Drosophila melanogaster: one gene and its partners. The protein of the gene in region 2 interacts with the protein of the main gene of each other region in a pairwise test. Each region holds a gene or a part of one and is shown on either strand. Other genes may lie near its edges.

Region 1 (7,634 bases), on a different chromosome or scaffold from region 2:
GTATGGTTCACTCAAAAGCACTACGTCCGCATGGCGCTCCTTCGCTGTTTGAGTCAGGAGGTTCTGTGCTGCTGCGCAATGGTTAACGTTGAGCTGGATGATGTTAATTTCTTCTGGCATCATTTTGACGGCTATTAGCTCCTTTGGTGTTGGCTTTGTAGGTGGGGCATGCAAAACCACCCGTCGCGTGGTTCTTGTCCACGTCACTGCTGCAGATCAGGCATCTTGGTGGGGCTACGCAGCCCTTTGCCTTATGCCCATGCTCGCCGCACCGTAGGCAGCAGTCAGAGCGATCGACTGACTTGCAGTAGGGAGCTCGGTGGCCGAATTCGAGGCATCTGAAGCATCTTATTGGGCGGACGTCTTGGGCTATGCGGCAACGCGACCATCCCACAGTTACAACGCCCCGGTTGATGACCGCAATGGCATCGTTCGCGCACATTAGCACAGAGGCTATCTGGGTCCCGTCACGCCTCCTGCGAAGGCCTCTTACATCCTCTGGTTCCAGGCGGATGCCCTGAAATTGGGAGACCAGGGAATTGTGAAGGTCCTGAGCCGTCGTTGTCTCGTCTAGTCCGCTGCAGATTAGCGCAGTCCTATGCGCGCCCGTGCGAACCGAAGCAATCTCTTTGAGCGTCGCTTCTAGCTCATTTTTAAAGCTGGGGATGACCTCCGAGGCTTTACCTTCTAATTCAAGAAGTAGTTCTCCCTGTTGCGTCCTCCTTATTTTACGCACGTGCTTGCCGAATTCGGTCAGACTCGGTTCTGCTTTCATCTTCCGGAGCATATCCGAGTACGTAACCTCACCCGTTTTTTTCAGGATTAGCGCCTCAGGTTTTTTGCGCAGGCGCTTGGGCTTCACCTTAGCCCATTCCTCGTCCTTGTTAGCGTCCTTGGCGACAGACGCATAACTTTCCGGTTTGGAGTCAGCCGTCGTGGGTAACGCCTTCCCGGTGGATTTCGCGGCAGATCGATGGTTGTCCGTTTTGCGGACCTGCACATTCGGTAATGCCTGTCTGGGTGGCGCCACCTGGCTACGCTTTGTCTTTTCTGCCTCAGTCTGTGTGGCAGTACTCCTTGGTGGGGGCTTCTTGTTGATACCCTCCTGTAACTCAATCGCTCTCTTATTGAGCGCCGATAGGTCCACTAGCACGCCCCTATCCTCGCTGGTTACGTGACGCCTAGTCTCGAACGAGGATAGAATGGCGGTGATCTTGGCTTTCATCATGTCCAGGATGCCCTGCAGGTCCTCATTCTGGAGCGTCGTGGTCAGTTCTGGCGAGCGATGCGGCGATCCTGATGGGGACTTCGCTCCCGCCCTTTGGGCCGGCACGCTGATGAAATCCATTGTCTTCAGGCTTGTGGCTGTCGTGGAGACTGTAGTGGCCAGAGTCTCCACCTCCACAGCTGCACTGCAGTCGCTAGCTTTCGGCGGCGGGGGGCCTGCTTGCTCACCTCCCCCTCCCTGGATTTGGGTTCCGACTCCTCTTATAGGGGATCTCGATAGCCTACCACTCCTCCTAAACGGGTCGTTGGGGTCGGGGGCACTGCCCCCCCCTGTTCTGTCCATCAGATATAAAAGGGGGACTTTGGCTTGTTGGTCCCCAGCGCTCCGTGGGAAATAGAACTAGCTTCAGTTCTTAGGTTATATTTCAAATTTTTGTTCAACTTAATTAGTTCAAATTTGAATTTGAATTCGAATTTCGCGCCCAACGAGCGCGCGGCCGAATGACGATCGCACCGCTGATCTGGCAACGCCAGTCTAACCAGCTCGTCGACTGCGAAAGGTTGGCAATGCTATCAGCTGTATTGTCTGATGCAGCTGATCTGATTTATTACCAGTTTACTGGATCACTCGTGAATTCCGGAACGACACCGTGACGCTCAGAAACGCGGCGCAAACCCCAGAGTGGATTTGCAGGTTTATGTTGCAGTTTACGGCTGACCGGACTCGTATATGACGAAATTCGCGCAGCGCAGCAAAAAGACGTGCGAAATACGCGGGACAATGGATGTGTGTGTGTGTGTGTGTGTGTCTATGTGGAAGGTAAACACATGTCTACTTTGAGGCACAGCAAAAAAAAAAAAATATATATGCAAGTGTCGATGATTTAAGTACATTTATAAGTAGTACGAGCAAAATACGAAATCTATAGCTAGATTGCTTCTTACAACTAAAATCAAGTTTATATCTCAAGGATGTGATATTGTAAGAGAATAGAATACGATTTTTCCCAGTGTGACTTCATCTTCAGCTTATTCCTACCCATCTTGGAGCTGCTGCCATTCATTAATCCACATAGAAATGCCAATGGCAGAGTGAGATGTTGATGGTGAGCTGGTACAGATGGAGATGGAGATGGTGAGGTGATGGTGACCAAAGCGAATGCAAACGAAGGCGGCTGAGGCGGCACAACAACAAAGCGGCCAAGAGGCCTATTAGCCACAATAAAGAGGCAGCCTCACCCCCTTTCGAAATCCCCAATGCTCATACCCCTGGAAATTCTATTATGCAGATGAATGGATGGATATGGGACTAACCATCCGACTGCCTAACTGACTGGGTGTTTGTGTGTTTGCCCCGCCAGATGCCATTACAATGTAAACCCAACAAAAGTTCATTCGGTGGACTTGATGCGGGCATGGATGCGGAGACGTCTTCATCTCATCCACGTACTTCTTCTCCACATATCCGAGGCAGCAGCACTTCCAGCCACCGCAGCGGAACAATTGATCAAATATCATAATTTATCAAATGACAATGCAACAGGCGGCGGCCTCTGAACGTTTACGTTCCCGTATTTGCTTGCCCCAATCCCCACACCAAAGACACCGATCTCCAATTCCCAAATCCCCCCAATCCATTCGAAAGCTACAACTTAATTTATTTGAACAATTTAGGTCTGACACAACAGCCATCGTTTGGCTCTGTCGTGTTCTTTGCGCTTATTTATTTCGATGGTCAGTCGGCTCGAATCTATTTAGCATAATTGCAGCTACGATCAGAACCGAGACCCGAGTCCCGAGATAAAATAATGCATTCTTGTGTGGGGTCTGTGTGTAATCCTAGATAGGGCCACCAGTGGGTCAGATAACCAAATTAAAACAGGCTAGGGAAAATATTGGGACAAACCGATTATTGTTCTATTATGGTAAACTTAGCCATGGCATTAGTTCCAATCGAAATGGGAAGTGCATTCTTCATCGAAGATTGTGCATTCAAATCAAATTGTGTGTCAAGTTTGCTCACAAATTGGTAGGTTTATGGATGCCAGATAGGTTGACAATACTTTTGTATTGGTTAGTTTATGAGCTTTCTTTTCATGGAATAGCCAAAGAATTCGATACAGTAGTCTGCGACTATATGGTCCATCAGAAATCTGTGTATAGCATCTACAATTTTTGTGTTTTGTCAAAAGTGAAATTTAAAGTGATACGTTTGCTGTCTCCTTACTTCATCAACAACCAAATTGCAATGGACAATTATGAGAGGGCCAGAAAACTGCAGGAGGAGGCGGGAGTTCCTCCTGGGGGAATCAAGCGGTGCTGCTGCAACTGCAGGAGAAAGCTGGATCCCTACCAACTGTTTGACGATAATGTGGAGGATATAGCCAAGAGCCTGGCGCAGATAATGCTGATCTGTGGCATCAGCACAAGCAAATCCAGCGCTGCCAGGTCGATAATTAAGAGGGCTTTCGTTTACCATGAACGACTGCGCACCAATTGTCCACCAAATCCGGCTACTGACAGTCGCTTGAATCGGGAGGACCTGCTCCAGGCTCTGCGACTGAAGTGCGAAATGGAACCGGTGGAGGCGATGCTCACCTATGCCATCATCAAGCGGGCCTTTAAGGCCTTCTATCACGGCAAGCCACCGGTGACGATCAGCAATCCCATAGTGGATGCGATGGCGGTGCACACCCAATATGCTGCTTGGATGCATGCGGCGCACAAGACATCCAGGATCTTCGACAACTACAAGGCGGCCTTCTTTTGGGCCCACAAGCACTACGAGAGGCAGATCAATCTGGTTTATGCAGCGCTGTATCAACGGATGACTACCAGATCGGATCCCCTCCTGGTGCCGGGCTGTCCTTGCAAGGGCTGTTCCAAGCAGGAAGTTCCCGGACATCCCAAGGCCGGCCAAAGGCAAATGATGAAGATCAAGCTGTCGGAGGGTGCAGATCTACCAGAACCCTGCATCATCTGTGGCTTGCAAGTTCCGCAAATGGATAAGGAGGTCAGGATGAAGAAGCCACCGCGTCCGATCATCAACCATGAGGTTAATCTACCCAGATGCCAGCAGTGCAATTCGCCCTTCCTCATCTGCGAATGCAACATCGATCAGTTGACGGGCGAGCAGTTTGGCGAATGCGGCCAAGACTCCTACAAGGTGAAGTGGTATCGTCTGGAGGAACCAGTGGCCATTTCCCAACCTGTTTCCCAACCGCTTGGCGAAGAGGAGCAAGATACCAGCTATGATGAAGCTGTGGAACCCCCAGAGGACTGGGACAATCACCATTGTCCCATCGACTGCAAGCACGACTCCTGCAGCGAGTCCTCGAATGTTTGCCACAGCACTTCTTCATCTGCATCTTCGGGCAGTGATTTTGCCACCTGTTCCGACGGCGTGGACAAAGAGGAGGATGTTGTGGCCAAGCTGGAGGATTATCTCAACAAACTGTGGGCCGAGGAGGTGGCTCAGAAGAGGAATCCATCGTATGTGCCGCGAACGATTCATCCTCCTGGTCCGAAGTGTATGAAGTGCAACGACTAATTTTGTACGTTTAAATTTTGGCTATATAAATTATTGAGTGATGAAAAGAGAGCTATTGTTGACCCTTAATAGCCAGAAACAAGTAGTCTAAGTACAGAACGTGTTTTCTCACCTCTGCTACCAAGTTTGGTTCAACGAGCTGCCACCATGCCACCATGCCACCATCCGGGCCACCCACTCCCACACCTGGGGAATCGATCGCCCACACGGGAGCCGGCGCTTATCACACGCCCACAGATCGCGTCTTGACAATGGCCACTTAAAATGCCATTGCCGGTTGTAATCGCCACTAAATTGCTGGCACCTCGGCTTATTCGCGGCTGGAGGACGGAATGGGACGTGGCATTCGATGGGATGGAGCTACTGTTGTCATCGCCGGCTGCTCCGCCCAGCAGCTCCCAGGAGCTTCCACATAAATCGCTGCCTTTATCTAAGCACTTGCATCTCGCGCTGGAACAGAGGCTCCTCCAAGCTGCACCACCAGGATGGTGCGGATCCGCGGATTCGGGCCTGTTCACGCTCCTCGCCGCTTATCAATCTCAGCTCATCTGCACGCAGAACAGAACAGAACCGAACTAAACCAAACTGCAACTAAATGGGCAAAAAGAACCCAAGTCGAAGAACATCTTCTGCGAAAAATAATTCCGCAACTTGTCACATTTTGTAAGATTCAAAGTCGCAGAGACAGGCACTAAACTGCAGACGCCTCTGCGCCAGGGATTCTGGGATGGGCCTGCAATGAAAGGAGTCCTTGACTGTCGGGATTTAACTATTTTTATAGGGTATTCGTAGATAAAGGGGCATACTCGAATGTTAACAGCTACATAAATATAATAATTATTAATGGCAACATATTGATCTTAATTTTATAGATGGTTTATTATTGGTTTAGATTTAAAACTTTGACTTTTTATCATTATCATTCCTGTAGTCGAATCACCCGTGTTTACCCTACATATTTTTGGCTAGGCCTAGACTTCACCCTCGAATTGCCGCCTGCATCTCCATCTGCCTGTCGCTGTGGCATGTTAAACTGGAGTCACATTTGCATATAGATTTATTTTTATGTCCACTGCCTTCGGATGGCTCGTGAACTATTTATGTGTGACGACGATCCAATCGCTTGGGGGAGCGATCTTTGGATGGATCCGCGATCGGTTCTTGCCCAAGAGTTGTGCCATTAAGCGATGCCCATTAAATGTTTGGAAATATTGGAATATCTCTAGATAATGCCACGTCTTGCCAAATTTCTAATTATGATATGCTCACATTGAGTTTCTCTATTAGCCCAGTTTTGATGCGTCTATGTCTGTCTTCCCATTCCAAAAAATTTTTTTTTTTGCTTCGGCATGTGTGTGGTAAACAAAGCTCTCACACTCAATTGAGTGCCACTTTTCGGCTTCGGATGAAACTTGGAGGCAACTTGGTGGAGGCAGTTCAAGAGACGCACGAAACCATTGAACTTTTCAATAGCCATCAAATTTGCGTCTAATGCGAACTGAGACTCGGAAAGTTTCCCGCCATCGTCTTTCAATTTGTTATATCCCTGCATTCAATGCGCACTGCAGCCACTCGAAGTTCACTTTGATAGTTCGAAAATCATTTGCACTCGGAAAATGCATTTGAAGTTTATATATATGAAAAGATAAAACATAAGTTTATCAGATGCCCAAGGCAAGCATTAGAACTTTACAAAATTTCTTTGTGTGTACATGCGGCATCTATCTGCTGCATTGTTGTGGGCCTGAAGCTTAATGGTCTTTTTATAGCTGCTCTTTTTCAACTTCAATTAATGAAGTGTCGAGTTGTTAACACCAAAACACACGCCCAGCTCCCAGTGGTGCAGCCTACTCCCACCGATACCCAATCCCCATGGACCGACCTCTATTTCCAAACATTTCGCCCAGCCGCGGGATGGGAACAAACTTCGCCGCGGCTGCAGGTGGGGGGGGCAGCCGAAAATGTAAACAAACAAATTAAAACGAGCATCGACACGGCAGCTGCAGACTTGGCCTCAGGTGAGAAAACGGGCACACGGAGCCGGGAGTTGGGAAAGCGATGGTCGAAGGGGGGTGGAAAATGCATTTTCACGGCAGCGCCAAAAGCAAACAATCCAGACGGCAGCCGAAGCGGCCAGAAGCTCTTTAATCCCGAAAACTTTGGTAGCACTTAGCGGTTTACGAGGCTGCCGAGCAGGCCCTCAAAGTATTTAGATATCAAAGTGGTAAAGGTGATAAAAAGCCATCCATTCCATCCGCTGCACTTTTGGCGACACTTTGTCGAGATTGAGTTGTTAAAACTGGATGTGTGATTAAAAGTGAAGCTATGACGCTAATTCAACTTTTAGTGGGTAAAGAGGTAAACCCACTCATGGTCTTTAAAATGTAATCCAAAATCTGGTTGACAATTGATTACATCTGGGGTTCCCATGGATAGGAGAAGCCTCTTAGCCCGAACTTCCTATTTATTGATCAGTTAGTACACTTCTCACATCATCCCATTGTGGTTGAGTTTGCTCCGCCGCTTCACGGTGTCCAGCGTGATCCGAAATCAGTGTGGGAAAACAGTTGGAGCGACGTCAACTGAAGCGCCGCTTCCACCTGAAACGCCGAAATAAATGTGGAGAAGGCCGCCGCCAACGCATCCGAGCAGTTGGAGTCCGTGGCCAAGAGCAGTGAGAAAAATGTTAATGATAAACCTGTTTGTCAATTAAACAAAAAATATTGTAATAGTTGATAACAGAATGGGCAAACACGAAGTGCAGTGAGCGGGTGTGAGAGGATGAGAACTTCCCAGAACCCAGAATGGTATATTGTTGGGGCAAACGGGGAGGCAGGGAGGGAGTGGAATTGGGATT
Region 2 (8,535 bases):
ATGTTTTCACACATTTCTTTGGTTGCAAACATGTAGACCTATGTAAAATTGTGGCCAAGACAGTAACATAATTATCCCTGTCATCTGACCAAAAATGCGCAGCCAGCAACAGTTGATAGTAAGTCAATTACCCAGTGATATTCAATGACTCGGAGCTGTGGAAGGAGTGCATTGATGAGGCAGCAGCCTTTCAGGACCCTGTTTCAATCTCTGCCGAGTCCTTGGACGCTCTAACGAGTTCTAAAACATTTCGCCCAGCTAAACGAAGCTCAACGCACTGAATAACAAGTAGTTTTCCCCAGCTCGCACATTTTTCCATTTTCCGTGTGTCTTTTATCCCATTTGCTTCTGCGGCTAGAGTTGCGGAAGACTGGAGCCAAAGCTGACTTCAGACGAATCGAGGCGAGGCGGCGTTACTCAATCTGAATCCTAATAAGGTGCAGATTCTGTCGGTCATATGCGGCGTATACTTAATGCAGTCGGTCGGGCTGACACGGAATTTTGGCTTTCGGGCGCAACTAATGAGCAGCTAAATATTTGTTGACAGTCTGCATTCCAGCTCAGGGCTAATTAATAGCTTTGTAAGCTACACAATTTAAGCCCTGTGTGCGGCTAATAAATTCGCCATTGTCAACAAATTAATGTGACATTTTATTTATTTGCCGTGCTCATAATTATGAATAATGCATTTTACATAAGACCAAAAAAAAAACGTGCGTAATTTAAATCCGTTTATCTAACCTTGCCCCACCGCTGAACTACAATAATTATTCCCGTTTGATTCGTTTTTGCGTTTGTGTACTTTTTTTACATCGCTTCTTTCTCATTCTGTAATGCTTGCATAATCCCTCTGTTTGCTCTGCTGACCACTATCGCTGTGAAAGTACAATTTTATTTACTTTAATTAAAATGGATTAGTTTTCCCATCATATGCGTGTGCATATTAAATAACTTTTTTTCGCACAAATATTTAACAAATGTAGCAAATTGCTTTAAATTGTAAACATGTATTAATTATACTCAGATAAACAAGCAATTCAAATGTAAGGTAAAGCATGCATCAAAATCTGACAAAATTGGACAAAACGAGAGGTCCAAAAACCGATAAACCTTTTTACAAAGACGAAGGATTTGCCCAACGGAAAGGGATAACAAGAAGGCTCAGAACAAAAACAAAAGCGCGTTGATGTATGATGTTGCCAATTGTTTGAAGTAAATCAAACGGCACGGCGCTGGGGGGGAAATGGTTGTTATGGAAGACGGGGGGATGCCTGGTAGCCGGATAAGTAAGTGCAGGCCAAAAGCAAAAGGCACATTCTGTGGTCGAAGCCTCATTGAGGCTGCAAAGCAACCGTTGCCAATGATTGCCATGTCCTGGCAGGTCCTTTCGCTATCGGGCTTTATGCCAGTTGCCTTGGAACTGGCCAAACAAAGCGCATTGAAAAATTGCCAGGAATATAGTAAGCGCCCAACGGCCGGACACTGCCGGCCAAAAGTATGCGCCCATGTCCGTGTGCTGACAGCTCCATAAGAGAGGATGTTATATTTCTGTTGCCAACAGTCGGATCGAATTATTCGGTCCACTTTAAGCCCACTTGAAGCTATTCAATCAGCCGACAACTCTTTCGAACTGTGGTCGTTCAATTCCGTGAGAAAGGGACACAAATTAGTGAGGGCAGGCAAGTGCCATCAATTAACTAGAATCCGGATCGATTATTTGCCGCTCCTACGCACATTCGCACATTGGCATGGATAACATTTAAACGAAGTAAACACTTAATGCGAATTTATGGCCGCCAAATGTCCAATTTGGAATTTAAGCGAGCTTGGCAATGAAGAATTTATGGTTTTTGGTCGCTATTGCGGTTAGAATTTTACATAGAAAATCGAACTGCAAAGTTCAATATAATTTTATGAAAGAATCGATTACCTAACAAAGGACACTTCTCAGGCTTTGATTTTGCTACACAATACAATACAATGCCTTAATTGCAATCATATATTAATATGAGTGGAACTGAGCATAAACTATGTATTTCCAAACATTTTGGCCACCATTTCAAAATTAGCACAATTTGCGCCGAGCTGCAAAAGTTTGTCAGCAGGAAAAAAAGGCAAACAAAAAGTTAATTAAAACAAAAATTACGGACAGTGGCCGGCGGTCGTTTGGTGGCGACTGTGCCGCAGCATTAGCAGTGCAGCCAAAAATGCAGCCGAAAAATCTGCGCGCCATCTAAAACAAAAATTAATTTTTGGGCCAGGGAAAGTTTTTATTTCCCTCCCATTGCTGTTGCTGTTGTTCTTGTTGTTGTTGTTGTTTGCTGGCCAGGCGAGAGTTTGCATTGTTTTGCATATTTTATACGGCGGAAGTGTATACGGCAAAGGCACTCGCCATCATGCCAACTACCCCAACCCAAAAAAAAAAAAAAAAAAGCGAAAAAAATGGTATGTGCAACACGCAAATTATGCAGGCGCATAAGACAAACTTTCTGTTTTGCGGATTCGACAACCGGCGGGATGAAAATTAATACGAAAGCCAAAAAACGGGGTTGCCCCCCCACCCACACAAACATCTAGTTCCTACGTATTTCTGAGATCCAAAACTGCATCGGCAACTGGAGCACCGCAGAGTAATTAAAAATACAGCCAATGGCCAGAGCAGAAAAACCCCGAGCAGCTTGTACTGAAGGAGATCATATCGGCCATGTTTGCAGCCCAGAAATCTGAGTCCCTTCAAAATTTGCATCTAGCATCCATCAAATAGATAAAATTGAAGAAATGTCTCAGCTTGCAGTTCTAATAAAAACTATTAAAAAAGAAAAGAAAATTAAACTAAAATGCATTAAAAAGGGTAAAAGCCAACATGACTATATTGAATTGATATTTTATTAAATGTGCTCTAAGCTCATTTCTTATTGCACTGCAGTTTTCAGTTTATAACGGTATAAAATTCTTAAGTGGCTAAGTAATAAGAAACAGACTTACTTTATTATTACTGTTTCTATATTGTTTTCTTTCGGTTCTAAGCGCTTAAAATAGCTTATATTGTCCCAGACTTTTTGAGATTCAGGCACACAGCAAATGGCTGCCGAATTGCAAACGCGATTTAAATGGGTAATGCCAGGACATGGCGATTGTTTTATAATGCAACGTCCCCACTTTCCACTTTTGCGCCTGCAAGCTTATTACAACGGTTAGCTTTATATTTACTATCCCAAGTCGTGTCCTTACTCACTAATATATCGAAGTTTACTTTCATGTGTATATGGTGTGAGCAGCAGAAGTAAGGCAAGAACGTAAAATATAGCGAAAAAAGTCATGATGTCTCACTTCACATGGAGATGTGATAAATCATATTAAAATCTTATATGCGTCAACGAGATGGCTGCATTTAAGATATTAATCAACTGTGTAATTAACTAATCAACAAAGCGCCTATTTCCAAGTCGACAAACCACAGATTTCATGCTTTAGTTATGCCTGTTTTTTGTCTTTTCGATATAATTCAAACTGGTTTCGACACTGTAGTGAAGATGCTGGAGAAAAAGCGAAATACTTTAAACAAAATCAACAAAACCCGGTATTGAGTTTGGGTTCGATTTGTTTTTTATTTTTTCCTGTCTGCCGGCAGTGGCGACAATCGAAAAAGGCAAAAACCAGCCCCCAGCTATTATTCGGATCCCCCATCACCTCCAACTCGCCCACATCCACATCGATCGATCTTGCTGACGCTGCGAGAGATCTTCTCAGTTTCTCGAGACGATCGGACGACGCACGACGCATTCCGCACTTTGGGTCTATTTTCGTGATTAATTTCGAAGAGCGGAGACGTATTCTAATAGGAACCCATGTTCCATTCTGTAACGTGAGTGCCATATAATCTGCAGAAATCAGTACGAATTCGTCCAGATACTCAACAATTTTACGCATACAGTATGAAAAGCCTTGGTGTTTTCCTACAAAAATAGGTCAAGTGCAGTGTTTGTGTAACATAGTGACCTAAAAAACGTTTAAATTCGTTTTCATGTGGATGAAAAGTGCTGAAAACTGACCGAAGAAAAACATATGCTAACAAAAAGTGCAGTTGGCGCAGTTTGAGAGCTACTGAAAGTGGCTGCCAAAACAGTTTTAGAATTACTCTGTAAGTAATTGTGGTTCATTACTTAGTTTTAGACCAACTACACGAAAAATATATAAAAATAAAAATAAATACATTTTACAACAATATTTTATATTTTAATTTAATACATAAATTAATACATAATTTAACATAATACATAATAATAATGTTAAGTCCTTTAAGACATTTGAATATTTCATTAATCGAGCAAAGTAAAAATAAACAAAATTATATCAATATTATTAAAGAATGCATGTTATTATAAATTCAATAAATAAAACACGTTACAATTAAGTTTTTACCAATCACAAGTAAACACACTTTCTACATGTAGATATGATAACATACATCGAACGCGCGTAAAATTTATGTTGGTACCTTTTTATCAACAATTGTTTGGTGAGCTTTGATTTCACATTCATATATAAGTAGATACAAATGAATAATGAACATCTTTTTTTTTAAATAATATAAATATAAATATTATTTAATAAATGAGCTCAATACTTATTATTCGATTAAGTCATTTACAATATCTTACATTGCTTCCTGTCGATGTAAAATTACATATTTCTACTTGTCTGGCAGCCCTGAAATACATATAACAGATATAATAGCTCACATTACAAAAAAATTGCTTACAAAATTTAAAAAAGCATAGAATTAGTTTGCCAAATTCTTTTACTATTCTGCTTTTAGAAATAAAAATTTATTGACTAACCTTCAAAATAATTAATTAGAAATGTATATTTTGTTCTGGTATTTTTTAGGGCGTATTAGGAATCAACGAAAATGAGTCAGTCTTGTATACCAGTGAGCGCAAAGATGTCGAAGGCAAAGAAGGTTTTGGATGAAGCCCGAGAAACTCACAATCCCGAGTTGGATTTGGCCGACAAGGGGCTGTCGTCCTTCGAGGAGTTGCCCGGACTGTGTAAGTATCAAAACCAAAGGATCTTGAAGGAATTATACGGATTTTTGCACTTCTGAGTAAACATAATGGTGGGTTACTTCCACGCAGAATGGAGCCTCGCCCAGCTGCTAAAAAAATTGTAAATTAATAATATTCTAGCGTATGTATTTATGTTGTGGTAATAATATTCATTTAAAATGAGTCTAAGCATCTTTTTAAATGGAGTCGCTTAGTTTTATTTATTGTGATGACGCCAGCAGCAAAATATGCATAAGTTTGAGTGTAGAGAACGTAAACAAACACTGTAAATACCGCAAATAAGATGTGTATACATATCTGGGAAATGTACTACAACTCCATAACTATGACTTCATTTACATAAAATTAGAATATACTACAATTATTAATCTTAAAACCATTAAATTTTTGAGAAAAAAAAAACATTGCGCATGCCTCTGCTTATATTGTTGTCCCGCTCCAACATTCGGCGTCTATACTTGTTGCCTGCAATCAGCTGTTTGCATTTAAACCCAGTGGTGAATTCACAGTGCATTGGACAATTATGAAAAACAATCTTTGATATCACGAAAAAGGAAAAATATGTATTTTAAAGAGTTTAGTATTCTTATTAATATAATTTTTTTTGCAGTCAACATGTCCAACATCACGCGCTTGACCCTGTCCCACAACAAGATCAGCGTAATCAGTCCGGGAATCGCGAACCTACTGAATCTGGAGATCCTGAACCTCTCGAACAACCAGCTGACCGAACTGCCCGTTTCGCTGTCGTCCATGCCAAAGCTACGCATCCTCAATGTGTCCATCAATCGGCTGATAAATCTTCCTCGCGGCTTTGGAGCCTTTCCGGTGCTGGAAGTGCTCGACCTGTCCTACAACAATCTCAACGAACAGGTCCTGCCTGGTAATTTCTTTGGTATGGAGACACTGCGTGCTCTGTATCTGGGCGACAATGACTTCGAGTATATACCGAAGGAGGTGGGTCAGCTGAAGAATCTGCAGATACTCGGATTGCGTGACAACGATCTTCTGGAATTGCCCCGCGAAGTTGGGGATTTGGTGCGACTGCGGGAGCTACATATTCAAAACAATAGGCTGCAGGTGCTGCCACCAGAGATCGCCCAGTTGGACCTACTGAGCAACAAGTCGGTCATGAAGATGGAGGAGAATCCCTGGGTCAATCCCATCGCCGAGCAATATCTGCTGGGCATTAGTCACGTCATCGACTACCTCAAAACGGAGACCTATAAGATGTGAGTGCACCATAGATCCATATATCCATAAATGTATATTCATCTGATCCTTTTCCTTGACAGCATCTACAACCGCCACTTGCAAGCAGGACGCAGTGGACCGCCGCCACCCAAAGCTGACAAAAGCAAGAAGGCCTCTCGAATTCGCGCATAGTGATTCTCCACCAGAAGATCCCAAGATCCCATGGAATTACAAATGTGTTCGTCTCGTTCGTTGTTAACCAAACCCGTTTTCGTATACTAATTTATAAGTACTTTTAAACTAATGCGTATTTCTGCAATGTGCCTTGACCCTTAGTTTCACTAATGAAAATAAAACAAAATAATAGATGCATATATGTATTCCTGCTGGTTTAATTTCGGATCCTATGCGCAAAAGAATCGTTAAATAAAGACACGCTTGTATATTTTATAAAATAGTAGGTTTTTCTTGTTTTTATTATCTTTTCTCATATTCATTCTTCTTTTTTAAGAAATTTGTTCATAATCATAATTAATTAGTTTACTTAAAGTCAATTAATTAATTCTTTATTTATTTTAATTAAATTAATAGTTAAATGTTTTTTGTTTTTGTTCTTTGTTTTCTATGTTTGAGAAAAACTAAAAGCATAGTTCTGCTTTGTTCGCTTTGAGTTTGTTTCGTTTCTTTGCATTTTTTCACTTGTCAATTTGAATTGAATACATTTTTTTTTTATCAATTTATGTTATTTAATTATTTTGTAAACGTATTTCGCCTTCACTGTATCTGCAATTCAAATTTAATTTATTCCTTAAAGTATATTTTAGTATTTATATTTATATATTTTTTATAGAGTTTATTTACAAGAGTTAAAGATGTTCTTTTACGAAAAGTCTGGCAGAAAAACAAACAAAAATGTAAATTCATTTATTCAGTAAATTTCTCCAAAATGATAGCACGGAAACGTCTTGTAAATTCGAATTGAGATAATTCCATAGCTATGCGTCACGATATACAAGTTGGATGTGCGAATGGAAACGAAGACAAGGGTTTCAAAAATAATATCATATAGCTTTCAAGCTATAAATGTCTTTTCTTGGAGTAGTACATCAGTCGGGACTCCGTGAGTAGTTGCACGATTAGTTCTTGAGCATGCAAATACGAAACACAGACAAAAACAAAAAACATAAACTAGTAACCTATGAGACTACAACAAAGCAAATTACAAGCACTCGATAGTATCATATATGCATGATCTATGCACTTTAAGATACTTACATAAAAATAGATTTATATGTTGGCAGATATACACGTATATGATAGATAACATTAAACATAATCATCATTGGCAGTTTTGCTACCAGATTGCTAAAACATAAAGCTTTAAACCTAATACTAATAAAAATTGACAATAGAAAATTGTACCTAAGATAGTAAAAATACATGAAATATAAAAATTAGTTACTTCGTTTGCTTTTTCTGCACAAGGAAAATGTATACGGAAAACAATCAAAGCCACGTTCGAAAGTCATACAGAAAAATGCGTTCAGCAACAAATGAATAAGTTTGGATTGTTTCCACCGTTTTTGTTTAAGTCTCGCTTCTTTATTTAATAATTATGGATTTCATACTTTTTGGTTTTCATCGTTTTTTTTTTGTTTTGCTAGTTTACAAATGCAATTTTGACGGCTTTAAATAAACGTTTAGCCTTCGGTACAGATAAATACAATTTAAATGCTTTGTTGTTTCCGTTCTTTTTTTTATAATGACGCTTAATTAATTCGCACTGTTTTTGTTTATTTCATTTTTTTTGTACAAAACACATTTTGTTATTCAAGTGTGTAATTAATTTTGTATTTCGGCCTAGCGCTTAGAAATCTCACCGACATATAGAATGCTTTCTCATACAATTAAACCTTAGTTTTTCTTCATGTATATTACTTGTTTGTTGTGGCTGCTGCTATTTAATAATTGTGTATCCATAATAAATATATACATACAAATGTATATATATGCAACTTGCAACTTTATATGTATTATGCATGTTGTCGTTTTTAATTACTTTTATTATTCATAATTTGCATTCGTATTTTCATTTTAATTTAGTTAATCAAAAATATCATTCACTTTCAGCTTTTTCTGTATTACGAAATTTTTCTCCTTTTTTGTGTTATTTTTGTATTTTTCTTTTTGTTGCTGGCTGTTTTCCCTTGTGGCATACAAACACTGTTTAAATAAAAATAATTAGCATAAAAATTACATTTACATTTAATTT
Region 3 (7,567 bases), on a different chromosome or scaffold from region 2:
CCATTCCACCGTACGTCGTCTTGAGCCCAGCAAATCCACGCCATTCTACACTCCCACTGTGCCCAGTTTGGTAAAGTCGAAGAGCACCGAGGGCAAATTAAACTACATCAAGGGTGGTCATGTGGCCACAACACCCAATCCTCACAGATTCGGAAGTGCCAGCTCAGGTATTTTTATTGAATCCTCTGTGGCTCCAAAGGTCAAGCCCACCGCTAGCGCCAGCATCGAACTAGACAGCACCTTCAAGCCGGTCATCATTGGCATGCGCCATCACTATGATGTGGCCAGTTCCGGCGAGTTCCGACCCCCGTCGAAGTCCACCGAGAGTCGGGATTATCTGCCAACTACACCTTCACCATCGGCCGCTAGTAGCGGTCCAACTTATTTGCCCATGAGTGGAAAGTCGCCAAGAGTGAATACCGGCGGTGCAGCTGGAGAGGATGTCTTGTTGTTCGCCCCCAATCCTGTAAAAGAAGAGTCTGTTTTCCGCAATGTTCAGGATATGCTGAAAACAATGAATCTCTTGAAGGATCAGTTCGAGGACGTGGAGCTAAATGCTGCGGCGGCAGCTCCCGCTAGAGTTGGCCTAGAGATTCCACCTTCCTCCGGTCCAGATGCCCTGGTTTCATTTGCCAAATACTTTGCACAAGAGCACAATGAAACTATTAATTCCCTGAGTAAGAAGGATAAGTCGGAGAAGGTAGACAAAACTGGTGTTCAAACCAAGCTATCCGTGAAGCCACCACTTCCAACTATCAAGCCATCGGACACCACTGCTCTACTAACCACCTCGGAGAATCCTCCAGCCATTAGTGACAATGCGGACGATATCAAGAAGAGTCTTCTGAGTGATACTACCGTGAAGAAGTACAGCAATCTGTTTGGACTGAAGTCGGCCCAAGGTCGTGGTGCTGGCGAGTCGGATATTAGTTCGGGCTTACTCTCTAATCAGACCAACGGAACCCAATCAGAAGCGGGATCGAAATACCAGCAGTACCCGCAGATAGGCAGCACTGGATCCACCATTGGCGCACTGGCGGAGAAACCCGAAACTCGAAAGATCGCTCAAATCTTCTCCAACGCTTTGTCCAGCTATCTTGATAACCCAGCTACTTTCCGTGCGGAACTGGCTGCCCGAGCTCGCCCTACGGAGCCACCAAGTACTCCCAACTTTAAGCCCGTGACCACAACGGATCCGTCGCTCTTCAGTGATGGAACTGCCAAGTATTATCTGCCCACCAAGGGATTGCCGGACGCGACCACCCCCACACCGAACAGCATTGCAGCGGAAATAAACCATAAATTCGATTCTACTCTGGCCCCAGAGTTCTCCACCACCACTGAGCTGTACGAAGGTAGCACGAATCGCGGCCTTGAGTTCTCTGGGGAGCTTTCGCCGCCAAGTCAGGATTCCGGAGAGGAGTTTCTGCAGCAACAGCAAACGCAATCGTTTGTAAAGTCTCGCAACGATCTGCTCAAGGATGCTAGACCTCAAAAGCTAGTTACGACCCACAAGCCCACTGAGCATCCGTGGGCACTCAAGTCGCAAACGGACTTCCTCGATCCCCTAACCATCAACGATGGTCTGATGAAGGAGCAAAGAACTTCCACTAGCAGTTCCACAACCTCCACCTCTACAACAGCATCACCATTTGCCTACAGGGTGACCACACCCACGCCATCTCGCTACGAGTGGGAGGACATCTTCCGTAGCTACGACATTCCCAGGGACGCACTGCCTTCCAGTAGTGGGCTGCAGAGGATTGCCAATAAGTTGTTCGGTGGCCTCAACGAACAGGAGGCACTGCACCTGCGCAACGTCATGGCAAAAGCGGAGCACGATCGCCAGGTACTAAGTCTGCTGCTGCTGCTCATCCAGACCTGCGATGACCACAATGGCAAGGCGCTGGAAAGGAGCCGTAAGCACCTGCTAAACGCACTAATCGATATTGATAGCAAAACACATGCTGGAGGCAAGACCTCCAGGCAGAGATTGACCACCACCACCAACCGCATCCCAGTGACCACATTCCGACGTGGTGGCGCCGCCGCAGCCGAATACTTCACCAGTACCACGCCTGGCTATACGACAACCACGGATCTGCCCACCACGACAGGGTTGGGGGCAGGCAGCTACGAGGAGACCACCAAGTTCGAGATACGCGTCGAGGATCTGGAGGAGGCCACGACGACGACGGCCCCTCTACTGGAGGTCAACTCGGACCGCAGGGCCCTGGAGCTGCTCAAGTCATTATATTCGCTGGCGTCCAAGTTCAGCAGCAGGCGATAGAGCGAGGACGGTGGCGGTTCCTAGACCTTGCGAGTTAATGCCTAACTTTAGTCAACTCCACTTCCCCCTCTTCAATTCAGTTTGAATTTCTTTAATCTAAAACATCCTATAACTATTTGGATTCTGAACCAGTTACTTGTTAATCGACTTCGTTTAGCCAATGCAATTGCGCAATTAGTTTGTAAATATGTAATCGAAATACTCGACGATGAGAGCCCTGAAATACTCCCACGCCCAAAACAGGCATAGACTTGGTTGTTCCTGATGCCCAGCCAAGCAGTTTCCGTTTAAGTTTAATCGAGAGTTGTATTAAATTAGTTTCTTACTGCTTAGTCTTAACGAACGAGAACACTTTCCAACCAGAGTATCCAGTAGGAGCGATCTATTTGAACCATCTGTACGTCTTGATGTCTGTTTGTAAATATTTATTTAAACTTAATAAAGTACATATAAAAATAAATGAAAAGATAAGCGTAATACTTTGGAGATGGGTGATGAATGGTTATTGGCCAGCTAACTGATTAAACTATTACTACTGCCACTTAGCTGGCCTCTCAATAAGTCTGCTTGGTTAATCCCAACAGCCCAACAGAGACTCTGCGATCGCCTTGACATAAATCCATTGGCTTTTGCGTTTTCCAGCTCTAATATAAATCTTTGGTAAGGTCAGGCCGATCATGTAATCAGTCGAAATTTAAATATTTTTACCATAGCTGTTGAATGCATTTGCAAGAAAATCGAATTTCCCACTCGCAAGGACAAGTAGAATCAGATTGCAATTACATTGCACTTGAAATGGCTATTATATTGAATTGATCAACGTATACGTAACTTATATTACGTATACGTCATGTAGGGTCTCGCTGATATATGAATTCTGATAACTGGCCGCAGTCCCCGAACAATGGATAATCCAGCGTCGTAAATCTGCCAAAGCGCAAGCAGCACACACTAACTGACGAACTGTCGTTGGTCTTTGGGGCAGCTGCCACATAAATATGGTAAAGATGCCGCATCCAAGTCGCGCTTTCAAATTCGTATATATTTCTAAGATCGTTCTGAGCTTGCCCGCAGTAACTTCCCAAGTTTTGGACAGTTCACAGGTCGCCGGTCGAAAAGGATAAGCCGAATATTAGACTCGGATAAGCTCGTCCGCTCGGAATCTCCTGCTGCATGATGCAAGTGCCCCTGCAACGCTGTTCGTGCGTCTTGGCAGGTGAGTTGGCCAACCAGTCGGCGCTGACCCAGACCCAACCCACTGCGGCGCGTAACTCAACAGTGACGAGCGATCGGCTGTACGGCCCATCATTCCGATCACTATTAGCACTTCCTTTGTAGGGGCGTCTGTCTGTCTAAGTTTTTGCTGCCTTGCATATTTACGAGGCATGCGTCTTGCCTTTGGCCCACCGGCTGCCGCAATTCTTGCAAGCCAATTGATGTTGCAGTGCGTTATTTCAGCAACTGGCACAGTGTATGCAACTCAATTCACAATGAAGAGATTAACCAAAATATAAAATTAAGAAACATATTGAATCTTCTAAATGAATCAAGCAACAGCATTTACAATTGTGCACTAAACATTTTCGAAAAAAATTGTTTCTAGTTTGTATGCTTAAAGTATAGTTAATTTGATAAATGCCCCGATTGTCTGTAAATGCAATAGTGAAGCTTTTGACCACTGTGCCCCCGATGTAGGAGTAGGAAGCTGAAAAATAAAGATCGCGGTGCAGAACCATCTAAGCCGCGCTATCAGCTCCCAGAATCACAACGTACTTGGCCTTAATAGGGGCTGCGAAACTCTTCGCTGCCATCGCCATCGATGGCTGCCAGGGCGTTCATTTCGATTTGGTGCGTCGCCAGTTCCACAGCTCGGAGCAGATCTTCGCCAGATTCCACGGACGGTTAGAAAGCGTTAATGTTGGCCCGTCTCTTTATTCCAGTTTTGGTGTTGCTCTGGAGTGGCGGATTAGCCCAGTTGCAAGTCCAGGTAAGCTATAAGGAGATTCTCTTTTCTTAACTGTAATCCGCGCTTTTATAGGCTCAAAGTGGATACAACTATGGGCGTCCCGAGGTAGCCAATGTAGGAGGAGCCACAGCTGGTGGTCGCTTGACACCTGCACCATATCCAACAGCACCAGCCCTGCCACTTACTCCCGCTCCGGCTCCTACTGCATATGGAGCAGGCTTGTTTCCCTCACCCGCTGTTGGATTTACGCCAAGTGGACAGGCTACCACTGCTTTTGGAGCACCCGCCATTGTAGGAGCCACAAACCCCGTTAACCCACCGAGAAGAACTTCATCTGGCGGATTATCTACCCCATCATCTCGCAGTGGACCCTATGGACCGCAGGCTTCGCAGTATGGAGGTACTCCCGGTGGATCTCCAATCCGAGTTGCTAGTGGAACGGGAGACAGCGGGGACTACAACGATTCCGATGGAGACTACTCGGCCATTCCGGGTGTTCCTGGAGTGGATTATCCTATTTATGCCCAGGTGCCGCGCACCAACTTTGACTGTGCGCAACAGCCCCTACCCGGCTATTATGCGGACATAGAGGCCCAATGCCAGGTGTTCCATATCTGTGCCCTCAACCGGACCTACTCCTTCCTGTGTCCCAATGGCACAGTCTTCAGCCAGGAGACATTAGTCTGTGTGTGGTGGAACCAGTACGACTGCGTTTCGGCGCCCAGCTTATATGCGAACAATGCCTATATCTATGATTACTCCGAGAGAAGTGGCTCCAATCTGAGAACATCGAATACCAACAACGTCTACCGTCCGGCCGCTTCTTCCTCGGCTGCCTTCGGGGCACCTCTGGCCACGACTGGAACACTTCGAGCCACCGGAGTGTCTCAGGTTGCTGGATATAACTCCGGCCGGGGGTCCTATCCTTCAGCCACGCCCACCCCAACCGCTCAGCCCCAAAGCCCGTATGGCGCTGGGGCTGTCCTTCGTCCCGCCATTGTCCCGAGCACTGGAGCCAATCGATTACCGCCATCGGGAGCTGCTGTCGGGCTTCTGGCCACTGCCGCCGGAGCTCTTCCCGAGAGTTCAGTGGCTGGATTCGGGCAACAGCAGTCGGGCGGGAATAGAGAGTATCTGCCACCAGCTAGCGTTGGACAACAGCGACAACGAGGAGGCACCAATGCATAGGTAGCGAATGAAAAATTCTGGCGAACCCCTGGGACTTGTACCCGGTTATATGACACTACTCTTAGTGACTCTAGACTTAGCCTCTATATAGAATGTTAGGAGCTCCAAACATAATAACTTGTAAAAATCCCATTAATTGAAATATATTACAGAGAAGTTCTAAGCAAATGAATGGTTTCATGTTTTAAAACCAACTCGCACCTTTCTGATTTAACAACAAATTTGTTCGATTATTATCTGGCTAATCAAATCCTGGTATCACACTTGGTATTCTCTTCCTTTAACTGAGAACGTATTTGGAAGAATGTTTAATATTGGGAAACAAGTTGGGTATTGTTTAAAAATTGCATTTCTTTCCACACTATTCCGCAGTCATTATAACTCTACTTCAATCTTCAAATTTTTCTTTATTGAAGTGCACTGAAAAAATCAATTTGTAAGGTTTGTTTATCCTTCGTCTGTGAAACTTTTCCTTGCTGCAGCAGTTTTCCGTACTCCTGTTTGAAGTCCGAGCGAATATATAAGTGTTTGCCCCTTTTTAGTTTTGGTTGACCCGCTTTTGGCAGCGGTATTGTCGGATTGAAAGCCATCTGAGTGCTGTCGAATTGCGTAAACAGCTCGTGGGAGGTACTAAGGAAAGTAATAATTGTTAGAGTCACATATGTAGTTGCCGTCTTATTACATACAGTTTGCCAATTTCCGTGGGCAAAGCTCCCTCGCCCGTTGCTGGCACTCCATGAGCAATGTGAACGGCCATCCGTCGCACCGTGGGATGATAGTGACGTGCCAGAAGCGCAAGCTCATACAGCGCTGTGCTTGCTGCGTTACAGTACTCAGGATCGTCCAGTTCGGGATCGTAACGACCAGAGCCTATCGTAGTGTCTGTATCCAATAGGTTGTCAAGCACAGAAGTGAGCTGGAAGGTTTGTTTTATTGTGCCAAGCGTGGCCAGGGTGCCATTATGGAGCAGATGCAGACTTCCAGTAAGCAAGCGTTTCATGAAGGCCATTAGACGCTGCTGGCTCATATTGCGACGACGCTTTACGAGCACCTCATCCAAAGTTCGCAAAATAATGGCGAAGTCATCGTGATTTTTGCCTGCCTGCACCGCCAGCATATTTCGGTAAAAGTGCTGGTAGAATCGGATGGGGTCGATGTTTAGCACCTCACCCTGGCCGGAAAGGATAACGAATATGGTCTGAACACAGTGCAATCGCTCCCGGTAGCCCAGCTCGTCTTGGTCCTCTAGAATGCGGTTGAGCACATCGATTAGATCGGAGAAGAAGTCCAAATTAATGACGTGCGCAAACCTAAAAATCATCCTCTATATTTAAAATTCCAGGAAAGAGATTTACAATAACCACTCACTCTGCCAATCCTTCTAGAATAGCGCTCAGCACGCGGGAGGTGGGATCGTTCTTAAGCACGCGGAAGTAAATGGTAAACACCATCTTTATGATCTCGGTGAGCTTCTGATGCTTTGCTTGCTTGTTTTCCTCGGCACGGGTTTCCTCTAGTTCTCTGTTAACCTCGGTGAGCTTCTTACGTCTTTTGCGCTCTTTCTTGGACAAGCTTAGTAAGCGTTGACGATGCGACTCAAGCTTCTTTTGCTTTAGCTCATTCTCCTTTTCGGCATCTAGGTTTACGTTCTTGATTTTAAGGCCCATCAGACAGGTGATGCACTCCACATGAACATTGTTCTGCTTCGTTTTGATCAAGTGATTGATGCGTCGCACTATAAAAAGAGTCATTTCTAACCGTTTGTCGTTGGAAAAGACTGTGCGGAAGCACTGATGGACCGCCGTTCGCATCTCTGCATAATTGCAATTCAGCATATACACCAGAAGCTGGGCAATGTTTTGAACGTAGTTAAAGTATGGATGTGCCACAAGCAAGTCACACATGCACTGTACTGCCACGGTGGCCAACTTCACAGTCTGAGGCGTCCTTAGACCACCTCTCCTGTTAACTTGCGCTGTGATCTGTTCCAGTTTCTGCAGGAACTTTTTAAACTGTTGAAGCAAGGCGTTTTCAAAGGTTACACGATCAAGAGTGGCCTTGCGAAGCGTCTGCATCTTGGTGTCGACCTGACCCACTCGATACTCGGGCAAGATATCTTTGAA

The links.
Region 1: the proteins of ics (region 2) and CG9173 interact in a two-hybrid assay, tested with the Drosophila melanogaster proteins (one large-scale study listed by BioGRID).
Region 3: the proteins of ics (region 2) and CG14607 interact in a two-hybrid assay, tested with the Drosophila melanogaster proteins (one large-scale study listed by BioGRID).

The regions. Positions count from the first base shown.
Region 1 is NT_037436.4:1,419,204-1,426,837, reverse strand, and holds CG9173 (uncharacterized protein), read left to right. Parts: upstream 1-3,366; 5' UTR 3,367-3,475; coding exon 3,476-4,777; 3' UTR 4,778-5,639; downstream 5,640-7,634.
Region 2 is NT_033779.5:13,637,626-13,646,160, reverse strand, and holds ics (icarus), read left to right. Parts: upstream 1-3,558; 5' UTR 3,559-4,141; intron 4,142-4,888; exon of another isoform or gene 4,889-4,890; 5' UTR 4,891-4,912; coding exon 4,913-5,051; intron 5,052-5,679; coding exon 5,680-6,301; intron 6,302-6,364; coding exon 6,365-6,455; 3' UTR 6,456-6,714; downstream 6,715-8,535.
Region 3 is NT_033777.3:7,238,398-7,245,964, forward strand, and holds CG14607 (uncharacterized protein), read left to right. Parts: upstream 1-3,362; 5' UTR 3,363-3,463; coding exon 3,464-3,506; intron 3,507-4,230; coding exon 4,231-4,277; intron 4,278-4,328; coding exon 4,329-5,444; 3' UTR 5,445-5,609; downstream 5,610-7,567. Other genes in the region: thw (thawb), read left to right, coding at 1-2,290; Noc3 (nucleolar complex protein 3), read right to left, coding at 5,852-6,074, 6,131-6,754, 6,813-7,567.